Linked DNA regions of Ovis aries. The main gene of each other region encodes a partner of the protein of the gene in region 4 in a complex. Links are inferred from orthologs where the notes say so. Each region holds a gene or a part of one and is shown on either strand. Other genes may lie near its edges.

The links.
Region 1: B9D1 (region 4) and TMEM67 share a complex: the UniProt entries of both Homo sapiens proteins name them as parts of the tectonic-like complex. The link is inferred for Ovis aries from reciprocal best matches to the Homo sapiens genes B9D1 and TMEM67.
Region 2: B9D1 (region 4) and TMEM107 share a complex: the UniProt entries of both Homo sapiens proteins name them as parts of the tectonic-like complex. The link is inferred for Ovis aries from reciprocal best matches to the Homo sapiens genes B9D1 and TMEM107.
Region 3: B9D1 (region 4) and CEP290 share a complex: the UniProt entries of both Homo sapiens proteins name them as parts of the tectonic-like complex. The link is inferred for Ovis aries from reciprocal best matches to the Homo sapiens genes B9D1 and CEP290.
Region 5: B9D1 (region 4) and TMEM216 share a complex: the UniProt entries of both Homo sapiens proteins name them as parts of the tectonic-like complex. The link is inferred for Ovis aries from reciprocal best matches to the Homo sapiens genes B9D1 and TMEM216.
Region 6: B9D1 (region 4) and TMEM17 share a complex: the UniProt entries of both Homo sapiens proteins name them as parts of the tectonic-like complex. The link is inferred for Ovis aries from reciprocal best matches to the Homo sapiens genes B9D1 and TMEM17.
Region 7: B9D1 (region 4) and TCTN1 share a complex: the UniProt entries of both Homo sapiens proteins name them as parts of the tectonic-like complex. The link is inferred for Ovis aries from reciprocal best matches to the Homo sapiens genes B9D1 and TCTN1.

Annotation. Positions count from the first base shown.
Region 1 is NC_056062.1:83,394,004-83,398,229, forward strand, and holds part of TMEM67 (meckelin), read right to left. Parts: intron 3,549-4,226; coding exon 3,450-3,548; intron 3,219-3,449; coding exon 3,132-3,218; intron 1,914-3,131; coding exon 1,814-1,913; intron 1,721-1,813; coding exon 1,581-1,720; intron 1-1,580. UniProt on the Homo sapiens protein: Required for ciliary structure and function. Part of the tectonic-like complex which is required for tissue-specific ciliogenesis and may regulate ciliary membrane composition.
Region 2 is NC_056064.1:27,636,742-27,641,397, reverse strand, and holds the start of TMEM107 (transmembrane protein 107), read left to right. Parts: upstream 1-1,298; 5' UTR 1,299-1,455; coding exon 1,456-1,542; intron 1,543-1,700; coding exon 1,701-1,768; intron 1,769-1,869; coding exon 1,870-1,970; intron 1,971-2,704; coding exon 2,705-2,801; intron 2,802-3,035; coding exon 3,036-3,105; 3' UTR 3,106-4,656. UniProt on the Homo sapiens protein: Plays a role in cilia formation and embryonic patterning. Requires for normal Sonic hedgehog (Shh) signaling in the neural tube and acts in combination with GLI2 and GLI3 to pattern ventral and intermediate neuronal cell types.
Region 3 is NC_056056.1:124,377,273-124,381,498, forward strand, and holds part of CEP290 (centrosomal protein of 290 kDa), read right to left. Parts: intron 2,803-4,226; coding exon 2,536-2,802; intron 1,967-2,535; coding exon 1,859-1,966; intron 1,221-1,858; coding exon 1,021-1,220; intron 1-1,020. UniProt on the Homo sapiens protein: Involved in early and late steps in cilia formation. Its association with CCP110 is required for inhibition of primary cilia formation by CCP110.
Region 4 is NC_056064.1:33,866,853-33,870,364, reverse strand, and holds the end of B9D1 (B9 domain-containing protein 1), read right to left. Parts: intron 3,088-3,512; coding exon 3,025-3,087; intron 1,334-3,024; coding exon 1,266-1,333; intron 998-1,265; coding exon 855-997; 3' UTR 800-854; downstream 1-799. UniProt on the Homo sapiens protein: Component of the tectonic-like complex, a complex localized at the transition zone of primary cilia and acting as a barrier that prevents diffusion of transmembrane proteins between the cilia and plasma membranes.
Region 5 is NC_056074.1:36,449,035-36,452,349, reverse strand, and holds part of TMEM216 (transmembrane protein 216), read right to left. Parts: intron 2,831-3,315; coding exon 2,629-2,830; intron 2,341-2,628; coding exon 2,325-2,340; 3' UTR 1-2,324. UniProt on the Homo sapiens protein: Part of the tectonic-like complex which is required for tissue-specific ciliogenesis and may regulate ciliary membrane composition.
Region 6 is NC_056056.1:45,738,649-45,742,321, reverse strand, and holds the end of TMEM17 (transmembrane protein 17), read right to left. Parts: coding exon 3,564-3,673; intron 2,352-3,563; coding exon 2,073-2,351; 3' UTR 679-2,072; downstream 1-678. UniProt on the Homo sapiens protein: Transmembrane component of the tectonic-like complex, a complex localized at the transition zone of primary cilia and acting as a barrier that prevents diffusion of transmembrane proteins between the cilia and plasma membranes.
Region 7 is NC_056070.1:54,534,251-54,538,476, reverse strand, and holds the end of TCTN1 (tectonic-1), read right to left. Parts: intron 2,268-4,226; coding exon 2,142-2,267; intron 2,098-2,141; exon of another isoform or gene 1,706-2,097; coding exon 1,562-1,705; 3' UTR 1,561-1,561; exon of another isoform or gene 693-1,560; 3' UTR 601-692; downstream 1-600. Other genes in the region: HVCN1 (voltage-gated hydrogen channel 1), read left to right, coding at 1-145. UniProt on the Homo sapiens protein: Component of the tectonic-like complex, a complex localized at the transition zone of primary cilia and acting as a barrier that prevents diffusion of transmembrane proteins between the cilia and plasma membranes.

The DNA.
Region 1 (4,226 bases), on a different chromosome or scaffold from region 4:
CTTAAGTAAAAAGAACAAAATAATTTTAAAATATATGGAAAAAGAAAACCCCTGTAGTCTGAAAATTAGACACCTCTCTCTACTCCTTCCCTTGAAAAACTAAAGTATTCAAGTTTGTACAAACAGTAGAAAATCTAGATAAAAATAATTATCAAGTATTTTAATTACAAAGTATTTAATACAAAATTTTAGCTAGTCTATTAGGTAGTCTCTTCGATATGACTCAAGGCCAGTTCAGCTCAGTTGCTCAGTCATGCCCAACTCTTTGAGACCCCGTGGACTGCAGCACACCAGGCCTCCCTGTTCATCACCAACTCCTAGAGCTTGCTCAAACTCATGTCCATCGAGTTGGTGATGCCATCCAACCATCTCAGTCTCTGTCATCCCCTTCGACTCAAGGACAAATATAACCTTATTATCATATACATTGACAAAGCTTAAAAATTTCTCTCAAAAAAATAAAGCTGTGGCTCAGCTGGTAAAGAATCCGCCTGCAGTGTGGCAGACCTGGGTTCGATCCCTGGGTTGGGAAGATCCCCTGGAGAAGGGAAAGGCTACCCACTCCAGGATTCTGGCCTAGGGAATTCCATAAACTATAGTCCATAGGGTCGCAAAGAGTCGCACAAAACTGAGCAGCTTTCACTTTCACTTTCAGTAAACTACCAATGAACAACCAGCAATCCATGACAGGCACTACGCAAAATACTTTTTATACTTTAAAACACTATTTTCCAAAATGCTTTTTGAGGAAGGTATCATGTTATACTCACCTCTATGCTTTCTACTCTCATAGATTAAAGGCTCTGGAAAGTTTTATGGTAAAGGAAGTTACATGACTTTATGGAATCCAGTATTTTCCAAACTTACTTGATTATAAAATGACTTTTTCACACAATCCCTTTTAAGCTTTAAAAAACAGGACTATAAGTAAGTTTTTGAGATGGTGTTCTTATGTCTCAGAGACACACATGTTCTTCTAGGTTCAAAAAAGGGAAGGAAGGAGAAAAGTAAGAAAGAAGGAAAAAGGAATGCAGACAAACAAAGGAGTCCAACAAAATTTACATCAAACCTTACTTAAGCAGCTAGTTCTAGAGAAAATCTGTTACTTATGCAGTTTCCATATTTCAGTCTCATATTCAGTTCTGAATACTTCCTTTGATAATCCTACCCAGGTCCATCAAATAACTGTAAAGGGGCCATGAGCATGTACCCATTCAGTGTGTGTGGTTAGGCTGTAGCCCCAAATCCTAACACAGGACATGGTCCTTAGTAGGTGTTCAGGGACAGAAAGTAGAATGGTGGTTCCAGGTCTGAGAAGAGGGAAAAAGACGAGCACAGAGTTTTAGTTTTGCAAGATGAAGGGTTCTAGAGATGGACTATACGACAATACGAGTATACTTAACAGTTACTGAACTGTACACTGAAAATGATAAATTTCATGTTATGCGTATTTTTTAAAGGCTCGATAATAATATTTTAAACTTCAGAAAACTCTCACTGACAGGAAAACTTAGCTGGAATTACATTAACATTTATGAGGTACCCATAAATTGCATACAATTCTATCAAATAGTTTTTACCTCCAAAAGGAAGAGGACAGTAAGTACTTGAAAGAGTGGGTTAATTTTTCTCACAGTCTGAATTTCGTTCCATTCATTTGCCACAAAATAAGTTCTCCATATGCTTACAGGAACAGTAGCACTCCGGACACCACCCTCACCTGGTTGGGGAGGTAAAATGAGTAAACCGTTTCACCTTCTTTGCTTTACAGTGGTGGCGAAAGAAACTTGGTACAAATGGTTACTTTCATTACCTTCAACAGCTTTAAGAACCTTCCCTTTAGGCCGCTCCCAATCGATAAAGAATATGTCTATGGTAATCTGGGAGATGAGCTTATGCAAAAATTGCAGAGCCTGAGAATGACAAACGCAACACCTTAAAGTACTGGCATTAAGTCTGCTTATGAAACCAACGCTAATTCTTTAAGAAACAAACATCTGAAATCACAAGAAGATATATGGGGCTTCCCTGGTGGCTCAAATAGTAAACAATCTACCTGCAATGGGGGAGACTCAGGGTCAACCCCTGGGTCAGGAAGATCCCCTGGAGAAGGGAATGGTAACCCACTCCAGTATTCTTGCAGAGAATCCCTGGACAGAGGAGCCTGGGGGGCTATAGTCCATGGGGTCGCAAAGAGTCAGAGCGACTAATATTTTCACTGTAAGTTTCACAAGTGACAAAGTTGTCATACCATCAGGGGCTCACCAGAAACTCATCATATAACAGTCACCAAATTCACAGACTTTCTACACACATATTAATTTCACCTTTCCTCCTTCTGTCTTTCTTAGAAATAGGAATATGAAGGTAGACATGCTGCCTCCCTCCTCACACAGGGATCTTGCCTAAAGGACTCTCTTTCCCAAGGGTTCCAAAAGCCTTTAACTTCTTTATAAGGAAAGGTATCTCCAACTGTAATTGGTTTGTCCTAATGAAAGTTTTAGGATGTTCTTACTGCCTTTTTCTCTATTTCTACTATTAAGATTTCTGATGAAAAAAAAAATCCTTTTCATTTACAGAATATGTTTAAACCGAGGCTTCTTCCGAGAAGGTGCATTATTGATCAAACAAAGGTAAAAAATTTAAGTATGGGATGATTCCTCTCTTCCTGGGGCTCACAGATCAGTGGGAACAGCAGTCACTTAATAATCACAACATAACTGGATGAGATGTACAGCAGAGACATGTGAAGAGCATCACATCCACTGAAAGAACAGTGAAGCAAGGAGGGGGGGCTCCCATGGGAAGAGGAGGAAAGGAATGTGGAGGCAGAGAGAACCAATGCTAAGAGTTCAGCACTTTATCCAGAGTGGTACCGTTCACTCTTGATTAACAGTCTACATTAAATAATAAAAAATTATTTAAGGCAGATCTTCAGAATGAGATACCTATTATAAATAAATGCAGACTTCCTAGTAAAAAAGAACAATTCATACCTTCTTCTAAAATTCAACTAATTTTATACCAAAGATTTTGAAAGCATTTTAACTCTGAAGACTTACGTGCTTACTAGCAGACTTTTTTTTTTAAGCAGACTTTTAAAATTCAGTAACCTGTGCTTTGAAACTTACCTTCAGAGCAAAACCACATCCCACATAAGTAACAAAGCGTTCTTCTTGAGCTGGCACTGGTAGCAAAACAGAGACAGACTTCTGTGCCTGTGATGAAAATTACACTGCTAAGTATGACCACACAAGGTTTTTACTAGGCACAATTTATAACCCAAAGAAAGCATAAAAGAAATACAACACACTCAGGAACAGTGAGTTTAGCACTTGCCCCAGTACTCTTGATTAGAAACACCCTTAAGTAAAAACAGTTGCTTTATAAAGAGAGCTTACAAGTTATTCAGGTTGTGGCACTAAGGTTAAATTCAGAAAATCACTTACTTTAAAGAAAATAAGCCAGTAAAGACCTGTTCCTACAGTGATGATAAAGAAAACATTGGCCAGATCACCAGCATAGTACACCAAGAATTTCGTAACTGTCTGCAATTTAAAAAGAGAATCACAGCTGTTATAGACTCATTCCATTTATACTACTTTAATAACATATTATTATTAATAACATTATTATCAACCCAGTTTCTCAAGCTTGAGAAGCTCTTATTTCATGTATCCATGGATCAGTCAGAAGGACTGACTGCAGCCACTTCCTAGATACCTTTTGATCCATTTCCAATAACTTCTATCTTATTCAACCCTTCTCATCTTTCACCAACTAAGAACTTTAGAACCGCTTTCTAATTTTCACGTTTGGAATCCTTCTCCCCAACGTACCCTACATACTACCATCAGAATTGGCTTTCTAAAATGTAAATTGGACTGTGTCACTCTCTTTCTTAAAAATGTACAGTGATGCCTCATTAAAATGTAAATTCCTGATCCATAAGTTCCTTTACAACCTAGGCCAAAATTAAATTTTAGCCTCATCTGTCAGTTCCAACAACTTGCTCAATAATTAACCACTCCACAAATTAATCCCAAATGTTTTGGGGAATGAAATGAGCATTATTTCAACAGATATTCTTCTCTTCTTCTCTGTGGCAAACTCTCTGGAGCTCTGAGGGCAGAGACCATGTCTCCCTTTGCCCATTATCACACCCCCCAGCACCTCATAGAGCATCTGGCACTCAGACAGCAAGCCATCAGTGACTATTTGTGGAA
Region 2 (4,656 bases), about 6.2 Mb from region 4:
GCTGACCAGAAGTAAAAAATGCCCATGTTAAAAATAAAGATTAAACGCCCCTCTTCCTGGGACACCTTCGATGTGATTATGAGAGATATTTTCCAAGTGCCAAGGCCATGCTGACCTGCTGTGTATTAATCATCTGGTCCTTAAAAAAGAAAAAAAAAAAAAAAGAAGAAGAAGAAATGTAACCCTGACTTGTATAAAGTTCTTTGTTCTTACAAGATGCAAAACTGCACTGAAAAAGATGCTTCGCTGGGGCAGTTTCTCAGAGTAATCGGGGAAAGGAGCTTCCAGGCTACTCCTTAGTTTGGCTCAAATAAAACTCTTTTCTATTCTTATTATGGATTATCCATTATTATTCTTGGGAGATGATCTGGTAAGAGGGTGGGGGGGGGAGCCTGGAAGTTGTGACTTGACTGTTAGCCGTGAACTCCGGCGAGAACTTTCCGTTCTACAGGAATCACCTTTAAGGTCCGAAGGTCCGTGAGGTCCCAATCGTGAGAAATGCTTGGACTATAGCTGGGCAAAGAGACTCTGCTGGTCACACCTCCAAGAGATAAGGAAATCGTAGACTCTGAATTTCCGCCTTCGACTCTTGCCTCCCAGGGACGCGGGGTTTCATTCTCTTCCTCCACTCCCTTTTCTGGTCCCGTACGTCCACTTCCTTCCCGCAACACGCCTCTCATCCACACCCTAGTTCAGGAGAGGGGCTCTTTTCTGTACTCTGCAAATCCCTCACCAATCTGAGCGAGCTGGGTGGGTGGTTGGGTGGGGAATCAGAATCAAGGAAAGTTCAGGTATACGGTCCGCCAACAACCAGGGGCTCCAGGACAATAAAGGGGCATCCACCTCTCCAAGTTCGGCCTAGGTCAAGGAGAAGCTACACGGATGCGGGGGATGGAAGAAAAGACAGTGTCCAGGGCTCGGGCATGTTGACGCCCTAAGGCTGGAGTGGTGGTGACTGTGGTGTCTGGAGGATCATCTTGGGCAAAGTAGCAGGGGCTGGGGGCCAGGCCGCTCCCGGCATGGGGATACAGGGAGGAGCGAGTGTCCGAATTTCCGTTCGCCAGTGCTGTGTGGGCAGACTCGGCAATGGGGGGCCGCGCCACAACACACTCTCAGGCTGTGCAGACAACTCATCTGCACGCGGGAAGGCCGGCAGCTCGATTCTCCGCATCCGGTCGGGATCTGCACAGGTATTGTGGACCCGGAACAAAGTTTCCCAGAGGCCCGGAGGCGGCGCGATAATTTGCCGCTCTCGCGAGACTTTCAGAGGTCCCGTCGGAGCCATCGTTTTTGCGGTTACTAAGGCAACTGAGCGGTGCCAGCGTAAGCGGGAAAGCGGCGTACGTCGAATTTTTGTCTGCTAGCTTGGGAGACTTGAGGAGTGACCCTCCTTGAGCTTCCAGCCCCAGAGACAAACGGCCTCTGCTCCAGGCGGTACCTCTTCCCCTGGGAACCATGGGCCGGATCTCAGGGCTCGTGCCCTCTCGCTTTCTGACGCTCCTGGCGCATCTGGTGGTCGTCATCACCTTATTCTGGTCCAGGGTAAGACCCAGGGCCCTCTTCTCGTTCCTCCTTCCAATTTGGGGTGGTCCCAGCCCCACTCCACCCTTTCTCTCCCGGGGCCTTACACGGTGGGGTCTTCCCATATCCAGCCGCCAGACCCTCTTTCAACTTCTGTTTCTTTCTGCCCTGCTCCCTAGGACAGCAACATCCAGGCCTGCCTGCCTCTCAGATTCACCCCTGAAGAGTATGAGAAGCAGGACATTCAGTGAGCATGTGGGACAGGGTGGGCAGAATTAGGCAGTAGAGGGAGTGAAGGGGTCTTAGAAAAAGTTCAGAAGGCCTAAGCCACTTCCTTCTTTTCTGCAGGCTGGTGGCAGCGCTCTCTGTCACCCTAGCTCTCTTTGCAGTGGAGCTGGCTGGTTTCTTCTTAGGAGTTTCCATGTTCAACAGCACCCAGAGCCTCATCTGTATCCTTTCTACGTGTACTCCTTTCCTCCTCGCCCTTGTCCACCATAACGCCCTTCAGCCACTTAACTAGGCCTTTCTGGCACAATGGCGTTTGCTCTAGCAGGCAAACAGAATCCCTCCTGTGGAGAGATGTTAGGCAATGTGGAAGATTTAATACAATCTCTGATCACTTTTTGAGCTCCTGCTACTCACCAGGCACTGGAGATCTCAAGATGAGAGTACAACAGTTTTCTATCTTGAGGAAGAGGCAGATACACAGACATCTGCAATTCAGTGTGATAAGCACGGGTGCCATCAGATGTTAAGATACAAAGCACTATGGGAATGCCGAAGAGACAAAGGAAGTGAGGAAGATGGATCAGGGAAGGCTCTCAACACCAGGGTACTGGAGAGTGATCCCAGCAGTGTATTGTGTCACTGTGAGCATGTCTGTGTGCTTGGAGTAGATCAGGAGTCTACTACTTCACCTGAAGGATCCAAACTAGATATGGGATGGAGGTAGCTTGGTTTCCCAACAGGGCAGGCTCAGCTCTGGCCTCTACACATGGCCATCCTAAAACCCAAAAATCTGGGCTGCTGGCTCTGGCCTTTGCAGTGTGGTAAAGGGAGCAAGAGATGCCTTGCTCACCAGGAGCTGATTGTGAATGCAGATGCCAGGCCCATCACCGGCCTTTTCTGGCTCATCACTACCTGTTGACCCAAAGGCTTTCCTTGACTCTGGTGTATTCCCAAGCCATCGGGGCTCACTGTAGTGCATCTGTGGCCCTATCCTTCTTCATATTTGAGCGTTGGGAGTGCACCATGTATTGGTACATTTTTGTCTTTTGCAGGTATGGTAGCACCTAATGTTTGAGGATGGGGAAGGGAGGTTTACTTTAAATCTGAAGATTCCCCTACCCAGCCCTTTGTTCCATGTGTAACATACCAGATCCACTCAACATTCCCGAGTCTTTTTGAAGTCCTCCACTCCTACACTTCAGGGGGTCGGGGGGTGGGATCGCTGGCTTGGGGATCTGGGTATTTTTATTAGAAGAAACTCTGAACCCATCACCTGCCTTCCTCAGTGCCCTCCCGGCTGTCACCGAAATAACATTATTCATCAGCGTCTTTGGCCTGAAAAAGAAACCTTTCTGATATCTTCGTGACTGGAAGTAGGGATGAAGGCTGAAGGAGCGAAGGACTACTCACCCTTCCTGGAAGAGGGAGGCTTCAGCCCTCCTTCTAACACTGCGTTTGGTGAACGATGTCAGTGTTAGGGTAATTATCTCTCAAGTCTGGGATTATCTGTGTTTTGTTTACAGTCCTTTGTAATAAAATATATTTTAGGGTAAGATCAAACTTACAGGAATTCCTGCAGGAATTCCCTGGCTGTCCAGTGGTTAGGACCCCACGCCTCCACTGCAGCGGGTTCAGTCCCTGGTGGAGCAACCAAGATCCTGAATGCTAGGCAGCGTGGCCAAAAAAAAGAAAAAGAAAAAAATCAAGACAAAAATTTCAGGAGAAAATTGGGGTGGCCAAACTACTATAGAAACGGAAGGCTGTTTTCCAGCCTTGCACTGTAAGACCCTAAATGTCGCTTCTATTCTAGTTATTACGGTAGATTTCTGACGGAAGGGAGTGGGCGGAGATATGTAAATAAGGTTATACTTTAGTACCTCGAGCTCTTAAAGTGAGTGAAGCATTCTGGGAGGGATTAGCGTTTGCTTTTTGACAGCCAAATGGAAAAATTTATTTTAAAACATCTGCAAATAAATTGAACAACAGAAGTGGAAGAACCTGGATAGCTTTAGATGGCTCGAACTAACATGTCGTTTACTCACCCTACCTGTTAGCGGAGTCTTATTACCGGAGTACGGAATATTGCAGTCCTCTCGGTATCGTCAGGTAGGATAATCCTTACCTGTTCCTCCTTTTGGAGGGCAGAATAGAACATGATGATTGGAGCTCGCATGATTCGTGATTAACGGCTCTGCGTAATCAGGACTTGCAACACCCTGATTGCTCCTATCTGATTCTTCCTGGCGATCCGTGATGTTAATGTACTTTACGATTAGATTGAGTTTTTAGTACTGTCTCCTTAGTTGTACTTGAAGTAGCGTCGGGCACGACTGAGCGACTTCGCTTTCATTTTTCACCATGCGTTGGAGAAGACAATAGCAACCCACACCAGTGCTCTTGTCTGGAGAATTCTAGGGACCGGGGTGCCTGTTGGGTTGCCGTGTATGGGGCCGCACAGAGTCGGGCACGACTGAAGCGATTTAGCAGCAGGAGCAGCAGCAGTGTTGGTCCTAATAGTGTCTGTAAAGTTTGGGGTGTGTTTTTTTTTTTTTTTCCTCTGAGGGTGTTTGGTTTGGGTATGTTTGTGTAGAGTACGGTTTGTAAATTTGTTTTTTAAACTCTTGTGATAGTTTCGTGGTTGATGGTTTGTAAGTTTGTTTGTTTTTTAAACTCTTGTGATACTTAGTTTCGTGGTTGATTTGTCAAAGTCACTTAATCCTGTCTGAATGGAATTCTTCAGGCCTGAGTCTTGGAGTGGATAACCGTTTCCTTTTTTTTCAGGGGTTCTTTCCCAACGCCAGGGACCCAAACCACGACTCCTTTCCTTGCATGAATCCGATTCGTTTCTTTGCATGAATCCCAATTTGCTAGCTAGTATTTTTTTTTTTTTTCCGCTTAATTTCATGA
Region 3 (4,226 bases), on a different chromosome or scaffold from region 4:
TGCCGGGGGCTACTCGCTAGTTGCTGTGTGTGGGCATCTCATTGAGGTGGTTTTTCTTGTGGTGGAACATAGGCTCAAGAGCACGCAAGGTTCAGCAGTTGCAGCACTTGGGCTCAACAGTTGAGGCTTGCAGCCTCCAGTGCACAGGCTCAGCAGGTGGGGAGCATGGGCGCTGCTGCCTTGCTGCATGTGCAGTATTCCCGGACCAGGAACTGAATCCTGGTCCCCTGCAATGGCAGCTGGACTCTTTACCACTGGATCACCAGGGAACTCCTGTACCTATTTTAGTTTCAAAATTTATACTCTGATAAATGATTGAACAATGTTTAGAATTTCTAATATAGAGAATGCTTTGAGCCCTCCACTGTTGATGTGGTTAATAAAAAAGATTAATATTTCATTCAACAAATATTTGAGCCTTAAATGTATGCCAAAAACTGTTGTTGCTGCTGCTGCTGCTGCTGCTAAGTCGCTTCAGTCGTGTCCGACTCTGTCCGACTCTATGGAGAGCAGCCCACCAGGTTCCTCTGTCCACGGGATTCTCTAGGCAAAAATACTGGAGTGGGGCCACAAACTATTACAGGTATATAAATAAAAGTTTTGTATTTATGTTACTTTACAATTTTCAAACTACTTCCATATATAGCATCATTTGGCCTTCATATAACCACCTTGAAAGAGCCAGAGTAAGGACTGTCATTTTCCTTTACAGATAATAAAAAGGAAAATTTCAAAGGTTAAAGATGAGATTCTACACAAGAATCTTTTGAGTCAGACTGACTAGATTCAAATCATGGCTTTCTCATCTTCTCCTAGGCATGTTACTAACACGTTCTGTAGCTTAGCTTCCTATCTGCAAAATGGAGTGACTATCCCATATCATCAGTAGTACTGAGGATAAAATGAGACAATATAGGCAATATTTTTAGACCAGTGCATGATATAACAAATGCTTACATTTATATTTATTATATCATTATTCCCATTTTCCTATATTTACAATATATTTCTAAGACTTACCGTAATTTCATATTTTCAAATTCTTTGATTTTTAATTCAGTGATTTCTTTTTGTCTCTCTAAATCTTGAGATACTTGTTTTAGTTTGATCACAAGTGAGGAGAGAGAGTCATCTTGTTCTGCTACTGTCTGTTCCATTTCAGCCAAACGAATAAAATGCTTGTTGGTAGGAACTGGAGTGGGAGACTGTTTTATTAAATCCTATGAAATATCATTATATTAGCCATGAGCAGGTACAATGCAATGCCATACTTATCTCATAATTTTAACTTGGTTCCTTAAATGATCAAAACAATTTCAAATCTAAAATGTAATGAAGGCAATGAAGGCTTAGAGAAGACAGGAAATAGGGATCTTATTCTTTGTATTCCCAGCATCTGGCAAAGTACCTACATGTAGGGAAGGATCAATAAATAAATATTGATTGAATTAATGAGTTAAAGTTTGAGGAAGGTAAGGTTTGCATGTTAGGAGAAGAAAGGTCATTTTGCACATACAGAATACAATGACCAAGAGGCAAGAATTATCAGAACATAGAAAGCAGTTAGATACAGGTAAATTAATAATGTATAGATTTGAAAAGACAGACAGAGGTCAGAGGAAGAAATATAAACATGATTTTCTAGGCAGCAGTAAGCTATAACAAATCTAGGCCTAGGGAAAAAAATGATCAGGGCCGTGTTTTCAGATTATTCTGGCAAAAAAAAAAAAAAAAAAAAGTAGGATGGCTTCCAATCCCCTCTCCCTGAAAACAGAGCTAAATTTTCAACTGTATGGTCTGAAAAATCAATAAAGAATAGAACAAAGTTCCTAGACTCTTACCCAAACTGTAATCTTACCCAAGCTGTTTCTTTGAATTTACTGAGTGAATTATCAGCCTGCAGTTCTAATTTACGATGAAGAATATGAAGTTCTTCTTCATGTTTCTTAACAATTTCTCTTTGTTCCTGTTTTATAACAAATGAAAACTATAGCTTACATTGTGACTCATATAAATTTACATTCTAAAAGTCTTAAATATTTTATCTTTAATATACTAAAATCCTTATGAGAGGGAAGGAACAACATGTGCATACATTTCCCTAGCACATGTTCAAACTGACAAGCCTAGCCTTAGAGTATAACTTATTCTTAATATTAGAATACTATGGATTTATTATCTTTTAACTTGTTTCTAGCAATTTTTAAATTTTAGATTTTTTTTACCCCTTAAAGTTCTGGCAAATTTGATTTTCACTGATACCAGTGTGATGGATTTCATTCTAACTTACTGCCTCAATCTTTACCTATTAACTTGAAATCAGTTTCACCATGAACGCCATTACTGGTTTACTCAGTCAATAACACAAACTGCCAGTTTTACTGACACATCTGTAATCCAATCACGTGAAAGTAACAATACCTGAATTGAATCATTTGAAAACAAGAAATGAAACACCACTTAAGGGCAGAATAGTACTTGGCATTTGTCTAAAAAACACCATAATAAATAAGACAGCATAACATAACCAAATACCTCTCTGGCTTTTTCTAGCAGATGTTGATACTTCTTCAACACTTCTTCCTTTTGATTTAACCTTGCTTGCATATTTGCAATGGTCTGGTGAGCAAGTTTCAACGTGTGATGAGATTTTGGTTCCACCTCTTTTCTGCTGAACTCAGCTATAAGCTTTTCTTGTTCTGCAGTGGCAGGCAATCGAAGCCTCAGTTCATTGATCACTTTGTCTCTTGACAGAATATTCTCCTCTGCTAACCGTAAAGCAGATTCTTTTTCTCTTAGTTTCTGTAATGATAAATCATTAAAAAAAATACTTTTTTTTTCTTTTAAATGCTTCATCTGAATTTTAGTCAGACTGGTGGTGGTGGTTTAGTCACTAACTCGCGTCCAATTTTTGCTACCCCATGGACTGTAGCCTGCCGGGCTCCTCTGTCCATGAGATTCTCCAGGCAGGAATATTGGAGTGGGTTGCCATCTCCTTCTCCAGGGGATCTTCCCAATGCTGGAATCGAACCCGGGTCTCCTGCACTGCAGGTAGATTCTTTACCAACTGAGCTACAAGAGAAGCACACTAATAGCCAAATGCTACTTTCAGTTCAGTTCAGTCACTCAGTCATGTCTGACTCTGCGACCCAATGGACTGCAGCACACCAGATCTCCCTGTCCAACTCTCAGAATTTACTCAAACTCATGTCCATTGAGTCGGTGATGCCATCCAACTATCTTATCCTCTGTCATCCCCTTCTCCTCCTGCCTTCAATCTTTCCCAGCATCAAATGAGTCAGCTGTTCGCATCAGGTGGCCAAAGTGTTGGAGTTTCAGCTTCAACATCAGTTCTTCCAAAGAACACCAGGTCTGATCTCCTTTAGGATGGACTGGATGGACTCCTTGCAGTCCAAGGGACTCTCAAGAGTCTTAATAAGGTTAAACTGTATTTCTATGTGATAGCAGTTATCTACATGCATATTTTATTTATAAGATTATTATATATGTTAGAAACTTCATTGTTAATGATGAAAATGAAATTTAGTTACAATACTTTATTTAGATCTTATAGTTTTAGAAATAGGAATGTGGGTGGTGATAGATCTATAAAGAAAATGTACTGAATCATTTCTTTTATTTTGATTCATTGACTCATTAGAGCATCAGAAGAGTAACCCATAGAAGTCAACAAAGTATAAAAGCTGGAATTTTAGTGGTCTGAGTCAATGGATCTCCATTGTAAAATGTGCAGCTTCTCAAAACAAAACAGAAAATAGTATATATTCCTCAACGGAATTAAGCAAATACTCAAAAATCAAATAGCTCAGTGGCAATTCACATAAATGACAAATTTACAATATAGAAGACAATTTAAGTTTCTTTGGTTGATTTAAAAATGCACAATTTAAAAAATTATTTTAAATGTATTTATAGTAATATGATTTTCATTTTAGTTGACATCTAAATATATTCAGTTTATACTATTTTCTGTATAATTTAATAAAGAGAGATCTGACCATCTATTAACCAAATTTAAGACCTAGATTAAACTAAGAAACAACTCCTAGTTTACCTTCAAGCCCTTTAACCACCCACGAAAAGAAGTAAACTAAAAATTGATCCAGAGTTTAGAACATATGCTTCAAAATAAAATATAAAAATAAACAAGGATGAAAACAATTCTTGATCATTGAAGGGAGGGAAACACATTGCTCATAAAGCTA
Region 4 (3,512 bases):
AGTGCCTGTGTGAGCCTGAGCATCGGGGAAGGAGTGGACTGGGGAGCTCCTGTACAGGTCAAGGTCATGACAAGGGAGGGGCTGGGGGAGAGGCCATGTCAGGCAGGGACCGTCCAGGTGGATGAGGATGTGTCAAGGGCGGCTGGAGTCTGGTGGCCGCAGGCTGGGCTGACGGCCAGGGGTGTTCTGGAAGCTGGGATGGGGCCACAGGGGATGTACCTGCGGAGCAGAGGCCAGAGCAGGAGAGGACTCCTCATGCAGAGGCGGCCAGTGTCCTGCTGCTTGTTCCAGGGAGCACAATGAGTTGGGGCAGGGGCAGTGGCCCTGAGTAGCATAAACTTCTGGTTTACGGAGGAACTGGGGGAACATCAGGCTGGGGGCTCCCTCAAATCCTGCCAAGGAGAGAACACTGGGCAAGCCCTGTGACCTGCTCAGAGGGCTCCCCTGAAGCTGCTGGCGGGCGGTCAGGTGGCCCAGCATTGGCTGAGGGCAAGTGGGTTCTCCCCCTGCAACACCACCCACCTGGGGAGGCTCTCAGCCCACATCCCCTGTCCAAGGGTGGCAGGCATCCATGGAACTGAAGCCATGGAGCATGGTCAGTTTGACACGTGCCAGGCACTGAGCAGGCAGGTTTTAGGGCCGAGCATGTCGAGCCGTGAGGCATGGGATCAGTGTTGAATCCAAGCTCGTGTGCTGGTGGCCGTCCTGTGCAGCGTCCATGGGCGGTGCCCTCTGAGGTGAGGCCCGGGCTCTGCTCCCAGGCGATGTGCTGCGAAAGTCGGAGCAGCCCCAGCCCAGCCTCTGTGAAAAAGTTACACTTTATTATACGATTGCTGGGCAGAGGGCTGTTGGCTTCACCGGGGGAGGCCCTGGGGTGGGCTGGGCCCCGAGACGCCCTGCGTGTCAGGAGGCCCGGTGTCATAGCCCAGCTTCCTCATGTCCTTGGTCACCACGTTGAAGAGGAGAGTGACGAAGCCCTGGGAGCGGACACGGGTCACTGGGGACAGAAGGATAGAGTCAGCCAAGCTGGGTCAGAGACAGATCCAGGCTGCTTTGGGAATTGGCAGCCTCAGTGTTCCCTCCTGGAAAGTGGGGTCAACACTGCCCAGCCCACATTCCTCCCTGGGAGAAGGGGCTGCTCTGGGGACGGGGCGATGGAAGTGGCAACCCCTCTGAGCTGGGCCCTCCTCCACCCATCTGACTCCTGGGGGCCCACCTGGTCCCTTCCAGGCCCACCCTGCCCAGGGTGAGGGGTGAACCTTTACCTTCCCGGCCTTCTCCCTGAGCCACCACTTTGGGGTCTGTGTACTCGGGCCGCCGTCCCATGAGCCAGCTGGGAAGACAGGGGAGCGGGTGAGCAGGGAGCTTGGGGTCCTGCAGACATGGCATGGGCTCTCCCTCCAGCCCTTTCCTGGGGCAGAGCCTCCCCACGCCACCCTCCTCAGCTGGACGCTGTCCTTGGGTACGGTCATTGTGGGCAAAAGCAGAGGGAGGGCTAGGGCTGGGAGGGTGCACGGCCTGAACCCAGGGGGCCCCACCCCAGAGTGCGGCAGCCATCCTTGGGGGTGGGCAGAGGGACAAGATCCGGGCTCTCCGCTGTCTTTCGAGTAGAGCGGGACCCGAGACTAGTTACTTCCCGACTCTGGGCCCGAGTGTTCTCAGCGTCCTGGAGATGTGATCACGGGCCCTGCCTGACAGGGCTCTGGCCAAGATGTCTGTGCCCCCGGCCTGGGCAGTGTCCTCCCACCTCGCTCCCAACAGCAGGGAGGTGGCACTGAGGGATGTGGGCCATGGCAGGTAGGGAGGCGCCTCAATGACTGCGCCTCAGTTTCTCCATCAGAGGAGCAGGGCTCCACCTGTACCTGCCTCCCAGGCTGCGCTGAGGACCGAGCTGGGGAAGCAGCCCCTGGGGCTGGCACGTGCCAGGCACAGACGCTGCTGCAGGAGCACCACCGGCTCCTCGGGGCAGAGACATGCCTGAGTCGCCCATGTGGTGGCATCTTGGGGAAACTGGAGGGGCTGAGTGATGGCCCCAGAGATACCAGGTCCTGTTGAGAGAACTTAATGTCTTTGGTTTTAAGCCACCACGTCTGGTAACTGGTCACAGTGGCCACAGGAAGCAGTCACAGGGGAGTGGGTAGGCAGCAGGCTGAGGAAGGGTGCTTGGGAGCAGAGCATCAGAGAGGGGGTGCGTGGAGGGGCTGCTTGGCCAGCTTTTCAGTGGCCTCCCGGGGCCCTAGGCTGCGGAGGTCTATCGATCAAGCTGCTGCCCTGGGTTCCATCATCCAAGCTCACACAGTCCAGCTGGGGCCAGAGCACCCCCTGCCCCCCGCCAAGAAAAGCAGGAGACACCCCTGATACCACCTGGTCAGGAGCTGGTCTTCCCCAGCCAGAAGCCCCTTCCTCCAGGAGACAGCACACGGGGGCCCACAGTTCTCCCCCAAGCAATGTGGACCCACAAGGCCCTTGACATCCCACAGCTGCCCGGTGGGTGGTGATGTCACCTCCAGCCGACACTGGCCCCGTCATAGTGGCTTCCAGAGGAGCTCCCAGGGGTAGCAAGCACCCAGCCATGCTCCCCAGGCCTCAGAGCTCAGGAAGCTTCCTCGAGCCAGCAAGGCTCCAGCCACGTTCCCCTCATCCTGCCCGCCCACCCGGCAGCTGAGCTGACTGTTTTCCATCCCTACCCCCGACAACCAGCCAGGCCCAGCCACCCTCTAGCTCCTGCTCGGATGAGGGAAGGGGCCAGAGGCCTCGGCTGGTCTCGCCCAGACCCGGTGTCTGGCCCCCGCTGGCTGCACTGCCAAGTCCACCACCTACTCCCTATGCCTGCGACCTTCTCTGGGCTCTGCCACGATGGCCCACCCTTGGCTCTAGGCCCTGCTCAGATGTCACCTCCTGGCAGAGGCCCCTCACGCAAAGGTGTCCAGCATGACGAGGAGGGGTGGGGGAATGTGACAGCCCTCCTTTCGATCACCGACGCCAGGACGGGCGCCCTGGGGACGGGGATAGGCGTCTACTCACCTGGTAAACTTTTGCAGTTTAGATGTAGATTCTGGGACAAACATGGGGATGGTCTTTTTGTGCCTGAAACAGATGTTTTCACAGCTGTGCTGAATCAAGGGAAAGCACTGGAACTTTCTGAGCCTCCAGTGCGGGGCGAGCTGGAGTGCCCAGAGGTCAAAGCCGCGGCTGCCTCCAGGGCCAAGTTCCTGAGAGCCCTGCCCTGCCTGTCTTCAAGGGCCAGAGGGTGTGAGGGTTACAGACACCAATCCCGGCTCAGCTGCGCCCTCACAGGGTCTTGCCTTTCCCCAAATGTCCCCCTGCTGCCTGGATACCCTTCCTCCAGGAAGCCCATGGCAGCCCCCAGGGTCCCACCCACTGAGAGCAGCCAGCGGGTCCTGCCCCAACACCTCTCTGCTGCCCGCTGTGCCTCCTCCCTCCCCCACCCCTCTGACCTACTCCTACTCCTTAGGGCCTGCCTGGTCCACCTGTGCCCAGAACGTCCTGTC
Region 5 (3,315 bases), on a different chromosome or scaffold from region 4:
CTTCCCTGGTGGAGTGGTTAAGGCTCCTAGCTTCCACTGCAGGGGGAGCAGGTTTGGTCTGTGGTCAGGGAACCAAGAGCTTGTGTGCAGTGTGGCATGGCCAAAAATAAACTAAAAAGGAGGCACATTTATGGAGCCATGCATGGGAAACCCAATGCTTCGAGGTACCCAAGGAGAAAATGTGATGACTTCCTATTTCAATCCTGTGCCCATTTTCAATCATTCATCCCCATCCTCATGTGGTACCCATTGAGGACTGGGGTTGATCCAGACTGAGACAAGTAAGACAAAAGTTTCTAACAAGTTAGAAACCAGCTGATGCTTGGCTATGTTACTTCCTCATCTCTAAACCTGCCAAGTCGGGGGTGAGATTGAATTGCTTTTTAAAGCCCCTGTGAGTTATAAGCTGCCCCTTAGAACTGAACCTCTCATTCATTTTTCTGCATTGCTGCGAGGGTGGTGGTGGTTTAGTTGCTAAGTTGTATCCTACTCTTGGCAACCCCATGGACTGTAGCCTGCCAAGATCCTCTGTCCATGGAGTTCTCTAGGCAAGAATACTGGATTGGGTTGCCATTTCCTTCTCTGGGGGTGGGGGGTGGGGGGTCTTCCTGACCTAGGAATTGAACTCAGGCCTCCTGCATTGCAGGCAGATTCTTTAACCATAACCAATGAAACTCTAAATGAAATAGGGAGGTCAAGGACAATGAGTTCTCCAGTTTGATAACAGCGATTTCTTCAAAGCAGGGCTAGGCGGCAAAAAGGCAGTGTGAGAAACAGCAGAAAATTGTATATGGGATATGCTATTGAAATGTCAGGGACGTTCCTATTGGAGTTTTTGTTACTGTTTCATGCTGAATTAGACCTATCTAAATACAGTCTTTGGATAGACCCCCAAAGGCAGCCCTTGGGCAAGGACACAGAGGGTAAGGAAACAAGAGAAAGCTTGGACAGTGGAGACCTTTGTAGATTGAGAATGAACCTGATCACAGGAAATAAGCAGTTAAAAACCAGCATAACATTCTTAAAGGCCAGTTACTTTTTACTCTGAGTAAGAGCAGATAGTCTAGGATTCACCTGATAGCAAAGGGGCCATATGGCTCAAGGTTTCCTAAAGTGGCTTCTCTTATGGCTTCTTGGAGCTAAAAAAATGGCCACTATCATGTAAGATGAGAAAGTTTTAAAGATGGTTACTTGGAGAAGAGAAGATACACTCATTTAGGGCAACATTTCTCCAGCTTAAAAAATAAAAGTATATGTTCCTTTTATGTTCACTTGAAATTTTAAAACAAATGACCAAAAAACATTGGTAAGTTTAGAATATGTTTCTGAAGCCTGTGTGTCTAGAGCCTGTGCTCCGCAACAAGAGAAGCCACTGCAGCGAGACGCCTGTGCAACGTAACGAAGAGCAGCCCTTGCTCACCGAAACTAGAGAAAGCCCGAGTGCAGAAAGGAAGACCCAGCACAACCAAAAATAAATAAAATTTTAAAATCTGCTGGCTTTGGGGCAGAGGTGAAGAATGTGAGTGGTCAGGATGACAAGTCTGAAGAAGACACAGCAGCTGGCAGGGCCTTTAGGGATTAATTGAGACTAGAGCTGCAGGGGAAAAAATTCAGCAGGACACTTTCATTGCTGCCTCTGTGTCCGCACAGGGTCACTAAGCACAGCCAAGGGCAAACCTTGGGGATAGTCTCTACTTTCTCTTGAAGTGGATGAAATTCTAGGGACAAGTGCCACAAGGAAAAGGCTACAACCCCCCACAACAGAAAATACTTATTTATTATAAAATAATGTTTGTTTCATGATGAGAGTAGAAAAATAGCACTATGAGCTACTTAAAAATTTCTGGAGCTCAGTTTCTGAGAAATGGGATGAGCGGCTTTTGCATCACTCTGGAAGCACACCCTCCTGAGGTGCCCTGTGCTCCTGCAGGACATGTAGGGCACAGCACACATGGCGAGCGTGTGGCTCAGGTGCTTCTGGAAGCCCAGGGAGCCTGCAAGGTCCACACAAGATACTCTGGCCATGAAGATCAAAGAGGAAAACCTGAGGTCAGAAGGGAGCTGGTTCCGAGAAAGGCCAGGAAGGCACCAGCCTTGCCCCTCCCTATACTGGAGTGTAGAAGAGTCTCCTGGCTGATGGTCCTGGTTGAGAAGATGGTGCCCAGCGGTCTTACGCTGGGTTCGTTCCCCAGGTGTCTGTGCCGAGGAAAAGCTGCGACCTTTCTCAGGACAACTTGGCCTGCCATTTCTCACTGGTGTGGCTGAAGTACCAGAGATATGTACAGTCTCAGCCTGTGAAGGCTGCTGGCTGAAGTTTTTGTACTTCACATCCTGTCCATACTGATGGCAGAAAGAAAGAAAGAAAATGTTAAAAGGCCAGTGAACAAGAGCAGCTGGCCTGAAATGTTCTATAATCCAAGCCTCTTGGCCCCAGAAAGCAAGAATATCTTCCCTAAGTGTGTAACTTCAGGAAAGACACCTTTCTACCCTCAGTGGGAAAAACACCTTTCTCACCCTTAAACATCCTCTAGAGTCCAGACCCTTCAAGCTTTAGAAGAACAATGAATCCCTCCCTGGGATGGGAACCCAACCCTCAGGTGACGGGAAATGGCCCCTCAGTAGCAGTACCTGGAGAAAGCGGTCAGGGTGAGCACCTCGAGCAGGAGCTCTGAGCCGCAGAAGAAGAGCAAGATGCCGTTCATGATGGCTTCCAGGCGGAGCACGTAGGTCTGCAGCAGCAGGTAATAGGACGCCATCATGGTGGACGGGAAGGTCAAGGCCACGCTAATACCAAGTGGCATCTTTCGCTGGCAGAGGTTTCCCTTTGTACCTGTCAGACACAGCCCATGGAGTCACCTCCAAGAGGCCTGCTTTCCTTGGCCTCAGAGGAAAAGGCAGGTGGGATGGGATGGACTGGCAAGCAGAGGCAAATGGTCCTGAATGGGGATGTGCAACTTTATTAACAGGGTCCCACTGTGTTAAAAACAAGAGGCTTTGGAGCGGCTGTGAGATTAGAGTCATTCACAGAAAGGTCCTGCTCCCAGTGAAGAAACAATGGGATCTTTATTTGAGGAAAGATCTTTTTAATTATAAAAATAATATATAATCATTGAACACTTTGTCAATTAATATAGAAAATATGGACTTCCCTGGCAGTCCAGTGGTTGACTCTGTGCTTCCACTGCAGGGAGCATGGGTCCAATCCCTGGTTAGGGAACTAAGAACCCAGGTGCCCCATGGAATGGCCAAAAAAAAGAAAAATATATAGAAAATCATTTTAGAAAATACAGAAATTAAAAGACCTCATGATTCACC
Region 6 (3,673 bases), on a different chromosome or scaffold from region 4:
TGTACAAAAATGTACATCTACTTTGTAGTTAGAAAAAAACACCCGAAAGAAAAAAATATGTGAAAGACAAAGTATTTGTGAAGCTCAATATCTCCTAACTGAAAAACTTCAGAACAGTGTTGTGAACCTTGGAGAGGAAATGCAATAGTAAGTAAGGATGAATAAATTTATAAAATAAAAATACAGATTGCCTAAACTCCAAATGTGCTGACATGGAAATGTCTTTCCTATCTCAATTTTCCTATGCATACATAGAGCACCATGTATATACACCAAATAGAAAATGTTGGTTCAGACTAACACAAAATCATGGTTCTATTGTTTTATGAAAAACCAATGACTTGATCATGTTCTCAATTGATTTTCTTAGTTTCTTTTTTCTTACCCTCATTATATCTACATTTTAAGCAATAATTATTAGAACAAAAACTTTTAAAATTTTTATAAACATATATTCCCCCATTTAACCATTAAACTTTTTTTATTGTTATTCTTTATACTTTTAGTGATTTACCTTAAAGTTTAAATGTATCAAGAGGCTCTGCTATTTAAAATAAAACTCTGGAAATGATTGTTAAATAGAAAAGTCTTTCTTGATCATCACCTTAATTTATCTGTTATGTAGATTTAGTGTTCTTATTTTATATTTTCTTATAAACTCATCTATCTGGAAAAAAATGTGAACAAATACATTTTATTAAACTATTCAAACAGAATTCTATTTTGAATTTCAAAGTATTGGAATATACCTAGTGACAGCTTTGGTATAGGGCAAAGGTTAATTAGTTAGTGTACAGGGGAAGAAAACTTTGACTGAACATTATATATAATAATAAAAAGCAGAAATAATAAAAAGAGCATAAACAGAATAGTAAGGTGTGATTAACAGTGGGAAGTGAAAACATTTTCAAAATTAAGCAACATAAAAATGAATAAGGCATAATGTGGAAATCCTAAGATAAGCATGAATCACAAAACAGGAAGGATAGAAAAAATGATTTTTAATGTAGCTACAACTATCTCTCAATAAAATACAATACTTTAGGAAAGAAAATATTGTATCTCTTAAGACAACCCAATTATCACTTAAAATTAATGGTTCAGATATACCCAAGCAAGCTTTGTTCTTAACAGAATTTCCTTAAATAGGTTTCTCCTATTAGCAAGGGAATATGCTCATTTATGATCATGAGTCCTTTGGGCCATCCAAACTCTATATATTAACAGGCACCCTGATTATCAGATCAATCTTCATGTGAATTTACTGGGTATGAGCAGTTCTTCAGTGAATAATGACTTAATAGATAAGATCATAAGGGTTAATGTACCCAGGACAGTGGCAAATTACATAGAAGGCTCTCAAATACATGTACTTTTCTCTTTTAACTTTATAATAAAAATAAACCCACAGCCCAAAAGAACTGTAAAAGACAAGAATGATTTCTAAAGATAGCTCAACATAAATATTTTATAACTTATTGTGAAGACATTTTGCACACCACCACCATAAATACTGAACATGGCTGTATGAAAATAACAATTTTAGGATAAAAACATTTCCTAAATATCATCACAATCTACCTGCTTTCTTCTTAACCTCAGTATAATAGCTAAGACCCTAGCAGACATGAAAATTTGGTGTCTGTTTACAAATGTAGTCTAATACATCAGAATACTGACCAGCATCTCCACATACTTCATACGTACTGCCAAGACATGGATAGGCCAACAATAGTGAAAGAAATATACACATTTCTAGTTACAGGTACTAACTGGAGATATTACAGTAAAGATGTAACGCCACCAATATAGATCTCTACACACCTGAAAACATTGACAACAACAAAAAATTTAAGATATTTGACATCAGGTAGACAACATGCAGGCTTTAGGGTTGATTTACTGCTTTCACGTGCTGTACAGTCTTATCATTGTGTCCAGCCTTGGAATTTCAGAGCCAGGGAGGATACAGTTCAAAACACTTGCTTTGTCCCTTTTATTGTGTTAGCCCTCTGGTGTTTTCCTGCAGTCTTCTAGAATGATCCTCCAGATGCTTATTCAACAGCACTGGGTCAAATCTCTTCTATACAGGACCTCACTCTTCTCATGTCTCCTCGGCTCGCAGACAGCCGGTCAAAGTCTTGGAGGTGGAAACGAGTTGCCAGCTGATTTACCATTTTCCTCAAGGTAAGAAATGCTGAAACAACTTGGAAAGTAAGGAATATAGTGAAGATGATATGTACTGCTTTCTCCAAGGGCAGATTTGTTAGGCCCTCATTGAAGAGCAAGAAAAGAATTAAAGGCAACTGCAACAGAAGGCTCAGAAGCCAGAAGCCAGCCAACTCAGGAACCTGCAATGATACACACGACAAACATCAGACCAGTGAAGTACCATCTTCTGCTTGTGCTGAAGCAAGTGATACTACTGTGAACCTACATTTTGAGCTCTGTAATTCAAAATAAGTATAGTGTGGTCCTTATCCTCAGGGAACTTACAGTCTAGACTGAAAGAGGAAACTACCTTATGTGACAGTCCTACATTACTACACTTAAGTGAATAATGAAACGTACGTACCACTTAGAGTAATAGACTAAATGCTCTAACAGAGTAAACAGGGTAGGTAAAAGAAATAATTCAAGGAGGTAGGCTTTTAAAGTTAGATAGAATGAGGAAGCGGAGAAGGCAATGGCACCCCACTCCAGTTCTCTTGCCTGGAAAACTCCACGGACAGAGGAGCCTGGAAGGCTGAAGTCCATGGGGTCACTGAGGGTCGGACATGACTGAGCGACTTCACTTTCATGCATTGGAGAAGGAAATGGCAACCCACTCTAGTGTTCTTGCCTGGAGAATCCCAGGGACAGGGGAGCCTGGTGGGCTGCCACCTATGGGGCTGCACAGAGCTGGACACGACTGAAGTGACTTAGCAGCAGTAGCAGCAGCAGAATGAGGAAAAGGCAAGAACTTAAATAAGCAAAAATGTGGAAAGAATATGACTGGGAAACAACACATCAGCCTGGAATGGATGTCTGTGTTAGGAAAAAGCACAAAATACAGTGGGATAGGCTGGGTGGGGCTTAATTATGAAGGGCCTGGAAGAACACTGAAATCTTTAGGCATTATCACTCAGTTCTGGTAACTGTAAATGCTTAGGCAGCATGATGACTCAGAAAACATCTGCCTTGCATAGGAGATGGGTTTGTCATTTTCCCCAATTTTCTTATTCAGAATCCAAATCATCATGTTTAATGACCAAGTATGTTCAAGACTACTGGGAAGAGGGAAAATGATCATTAATTAAGAGTTTACTATGTTCAGGTGCTTTATATAAATTGTTTAACATAATCCTAACAAATCTGTGAAGTGAATATTCCCCCGATTTTATATGTGAAGGAACCAAGGTTCAAGAGAGTAAACAAACAGACCACAGTGACAGCCGTGGTGAAGCTGGAGCTAGGCCTTACCTACAGGCCTTTGCTCCTTCCACATCTCACTGCCTTTCCTTGTTGGCAAAGTCTTAACTGCATTTATGTATAGCACTGAGAGAAAGGAAAGAAGAGCCTACCTTCTCCTGCAGGTTCCCCATGTAGCCCAGATACAACCTGATAGCTTCAATTAAAGTTATTAGAATGATAATGGTGACCACAATGAACTTGTAGTAATCAGGCAAGATGG
Region 7 (4,226 bases), on a different chromosome or scaffold from region 4:
CCAGGGCCCCGCCTTCCCTGCGTCAGGCTTCCTTGTCCTTTCAGACTCAGGTCAGGCACTGCCTCCACCCCTGCAGGTTCGCCAGGAACCCCCCTCCTCTAGTGTCTCTCCTCTCTGCTGTCACTATTGGGCCCCGACTAAGTGATTTCCATGAGGAGTGTGGTTTTCATTCAGCTCTGTGGCCCAGTATGTGCCTGGGGAGGCTCAGAAGGTAAATTCGGTTATTTGTCTGCTTTTGTAATAACAGGAACAAGAAATTGAGAGACTTAACAAGCTGTTGAGACAGCACGGACTTCTCGGGGAGGTGAACTAGACGCACACCTTCTCCAGCTCAAAGGGAAGACCTGCCTCATGGGCTTGTGACAAGGAAGACAGCCGCCCCTCTGGGGCCATGTCGGGGAGAGCTCTGGTTTGATGGCTTTGCCTCACTGCTGCTGGCTCGGATCCTGGGGGACACAGCCTTTTACAGGCTCTATTTCTTCCTTGGTGTGACTGAGAATGTCCCACCCCACACTGTGTAACAAATGTATCATAAACTATATTTTTTCTCATGTTGGAACACTTTACTCTTGCTTGAAAATGAACAAGCTGGACAATTACTAGCTGTATATAAAATTTAATCTCATCAAACGTACAGTTTTCACTTTTCACATGTATATTGAGGGATCAGTACATCCTTTCATATGAGCACTCTGAAAAACAAAAAAGAAAGCTATCTTAGCTATCAGCACTTTCTAGAAGTCTTTTACATGTCCAAGCTGTTCTAAATAGCTAACCACAATTTCCCCCAAGGAGGCCATTCTCGAGTACCCAGCCCCCTCCTCTGCATCCTCCAGCTTTTAGCTGGCTCCACCTAGTTCTGCCACCTGACAACATTTTCCTCAGTTACTGTACAACTAATGTATAAAATAAACTCTCTCCTTCCCTCGGGCCCTCCTACTAGATCCTTCCAGCTTCATCTGCTGGGAATCACTTGGTGGCATCCCAGACCAGCCCACTAACTGGAGAGCAAGCTAGCTCCGGTGCCTGGTACAGAAGTGGCAATTAGACCCAAGACGCCACTGTAATTAACATGACATTTGGGGGAAGATCCTCTTGTGAGGCCTTGTCCTCTACTCGCATGATTTTAAACAATTTGCTATTTTTGTACACATTTCAGCAGGACCTGAAAAGGAAGAAAACCTGAATGAAAAATAATATTTTAAAAATAACTCACATTTAAAGCAGGGGATGAACAAACTGGATAAACCCTCAACGCCTGCACTACTTGAAGGTCTGTCCTCGTGTCTTCTCAAAGGTGCAACTTGGTTTCCACATATGACCTATGTGTTGAGAGTACTGGAACTGGCTAAGACCAGATCATGCCTCCTTCTAATGTCAGACCAACTAGAAGGACATTCCCGAAGGGAGACGAGAGGAGGGAAGCGAGTGGAAAGGAAGTGTGCTGGTCTGGGGGCAATCTCAAGGGTTATAATAAAGTGGGATGTCTCCGAGGGGCCGTGGGCCCCACACGTGCTGAATTCTGCAGATATGGTGTAGTTTCCTTATTTAACGACTTACATCAAACAAATGGGAAGAAGAAATTAAAGGGCAGCCTGGCGTTGATGGTTGGCCGAGCTCTGAAGCCTGCCTCTGCAGGGGCAGACACATCCACAAAAGTAACCGCAGTGGAAATAAGAATCGTCCTTTCATTTCCTGAGTTGGTCTGTAATACAAAATCAGAATAATGCAAGCCCTGCCCTCCAGTGTGCTATCAGGATAACAAAGATGGGACAAGCTTCCATGCCCTTCCTCACCCAATAGCTGTCAGTTCATGAATCTGATAGGTACATGGAGGGCTCATCAGTCACTAACTCAGAGGAGAGAGACAGTTTTCACTCAGGTTGTCCCTCACACACTGATGTCATGCACAACTCAATTCTGACAAGAATTTTAAAGATCAAATCTAAACAAGAATGCAAATGTGAACAAAACCATTTTGTTCAGTGGAGGCTTTTCCTCTAAGTAAACGATGACTGCTAGATTGTTCTAAGAATCCAGATTGTTTAAATTTTAATTATTTTTTACAAAATAATAAATTTCACCTATCACAGCTGAGTTTTGTCTGGCCTTGAGTCTTGTATCTTTAACATTAGGCCTACCTCAGGAAAGGAAGATGAAATTAGATTTGCAGTTACATTGACTATTTTGGCCTGTGGGTTCAGTAAGGATCCGTATTTAGTCCACTTCACTTCTACCATCAAAGCCACTGGGAGCTGGCAGGATTCCTGTACAATAATATGCCATTAATCAATTTGAGTATTATACAACCTTAAGTCAAACTTAATCTGCAGTTCAGAGTTTTAATTATAAAATGTTTCCCATATTACAAAATGTTCTGAACAAGAGAATGAATAGACTCTGGAAGTTCAGATAAAAACAGCTTAGAAGCAGCATGTATTTTAAAAGTACTCAATGCTCCAAAAAAATTTTAACACCTAAAGCATAATTCTTCCAGCCCTTCCTGTTTCTAAAGAGACCAGCATTACCTGGGAGTTGTACCCCCAATTATGGACCCTCCAGGGCCGACAGGTCTAACTGCACCCACCCATTTACATCTACCTCAGAGATTCTTTAGGAAAGGAGTTGGCATGGGGGGAGGAGGAAAGGGAATATAGTATTATTAAGTCAGAAATTAAACCTGACTGCATATCATGTTAAAATGTACTTAGAGGAAATTCAAGTCCTTTCTTTTCATTTATCTGATTTCACTGGTTGGCAATTAAGATGTTACATCGGGGTATACAGGCGCTGTCTTAAGTTTTCAAAGAAGTTAACTCTCACTCTCAGTCGAGGGCACTGGTGCCACAATGGAGCTGCCCCATGCAGGCCTGGACACTGGGAGCTGGGCCTGAGACCTCAGCCCCAGGATCTTTGTTTGCTCAGCCCTACGGGGAACATATGAAGGGGGCCTTCCAGACCTCTTTCCTGTCTTTACAGTTTCTTCAGTTGGCAAATGTGTTAAAGCTGCCTGATAAGGAGATGGAATTCCACTGGAGTATTCTACTTTTTGTCTATGTATGTGTGAAATTTTTCCACAGTGAAAAGTTTTTTAAAATACATTTCTTTGGGGCATGCAAAGCTAGCATACCTGCTAAATTTGGTGCCGGCTGAAAAGGCAAGGGTGGAATGCCTTGGCTTAGCACTGTCTCTTAAGAAATTTGCAGGCTCAAAAATCCTTGAGAATATCCTGTTTAGAAGATGCAACACGCAGCTGGTGTCACCTGAGCCCAGCAGATGCCCTCGTGTCGGCTCTGCCTAGAAGGCTGGGATGAAACCTGCCCCGGGCCCTCTAAGCTCCCGACTGGCACAGACCCCGACAGTGCTTGCGTCCATGCTGCTGCCTCTCCCGCCACAACTTGTGTCTTCCCTTCTAAGGGAGAAGTAACAACTGGACATCTTAACCCATCTGCAAGAAGCTGGGAGCAAACTGCCTGGTTCACTGAGGCAGCAGAGCTGAGCCAAGACTTAGCTGAACCGCAGGGACTGAGTAAACACGGCTCTCTGCTGGGGACTCAGTGGGGATGGTGGGATCGGAGCTAGTGAGCTAGTCCTCACCCCACTGTCCCCATGCTATAAATGTGCTAAGCAGATAATGAGAGGCCTGAAGAAACGGTGACATGAAAAAGCCGGGCAATTAAAGGATAAAGATGGAGAGCACGCCTCCGCTGACGGGGCCAGCCCACACTCTGACTGCTGAGACAAAAGAAAAAGGTGGGCAGGAGAACCACATGTGATCTGGAACCTATTTGTAGGATGTCAATTTCCATTAAACTCTTCTGGGAACTTTAGAATTGAAAGCTCTCATGGGTGGAGTGCTTTTATAGACCAGGGAACAATGGATAGGACAGCTCTGCAGATGGGAGGAAGTCTTGCTGAAACAGTCCACTTCACCTATCATATCATGATACCTAGAGAAACCTTGCATAACACCAACAAGGGACAGGATGGTGACTGGTAGTGGTCCCCATTTATAGAGAGACCACTAGGCACCATTAATATTACCCGATTTTAACTCTCAACAAGCCCTGAGGGCAGTAATACAGCTATGAGGAAAAAGAGGCTCAAACCGGTAAGATCGCTGGCTAAATCACTGCTAACTAGGGGCAAAATCAGTATTCAAGATCCAGGCCCATCTGATAACAAAGTCCAAACTCCCACCCACAGCCACTCACCCTCTTAACAGG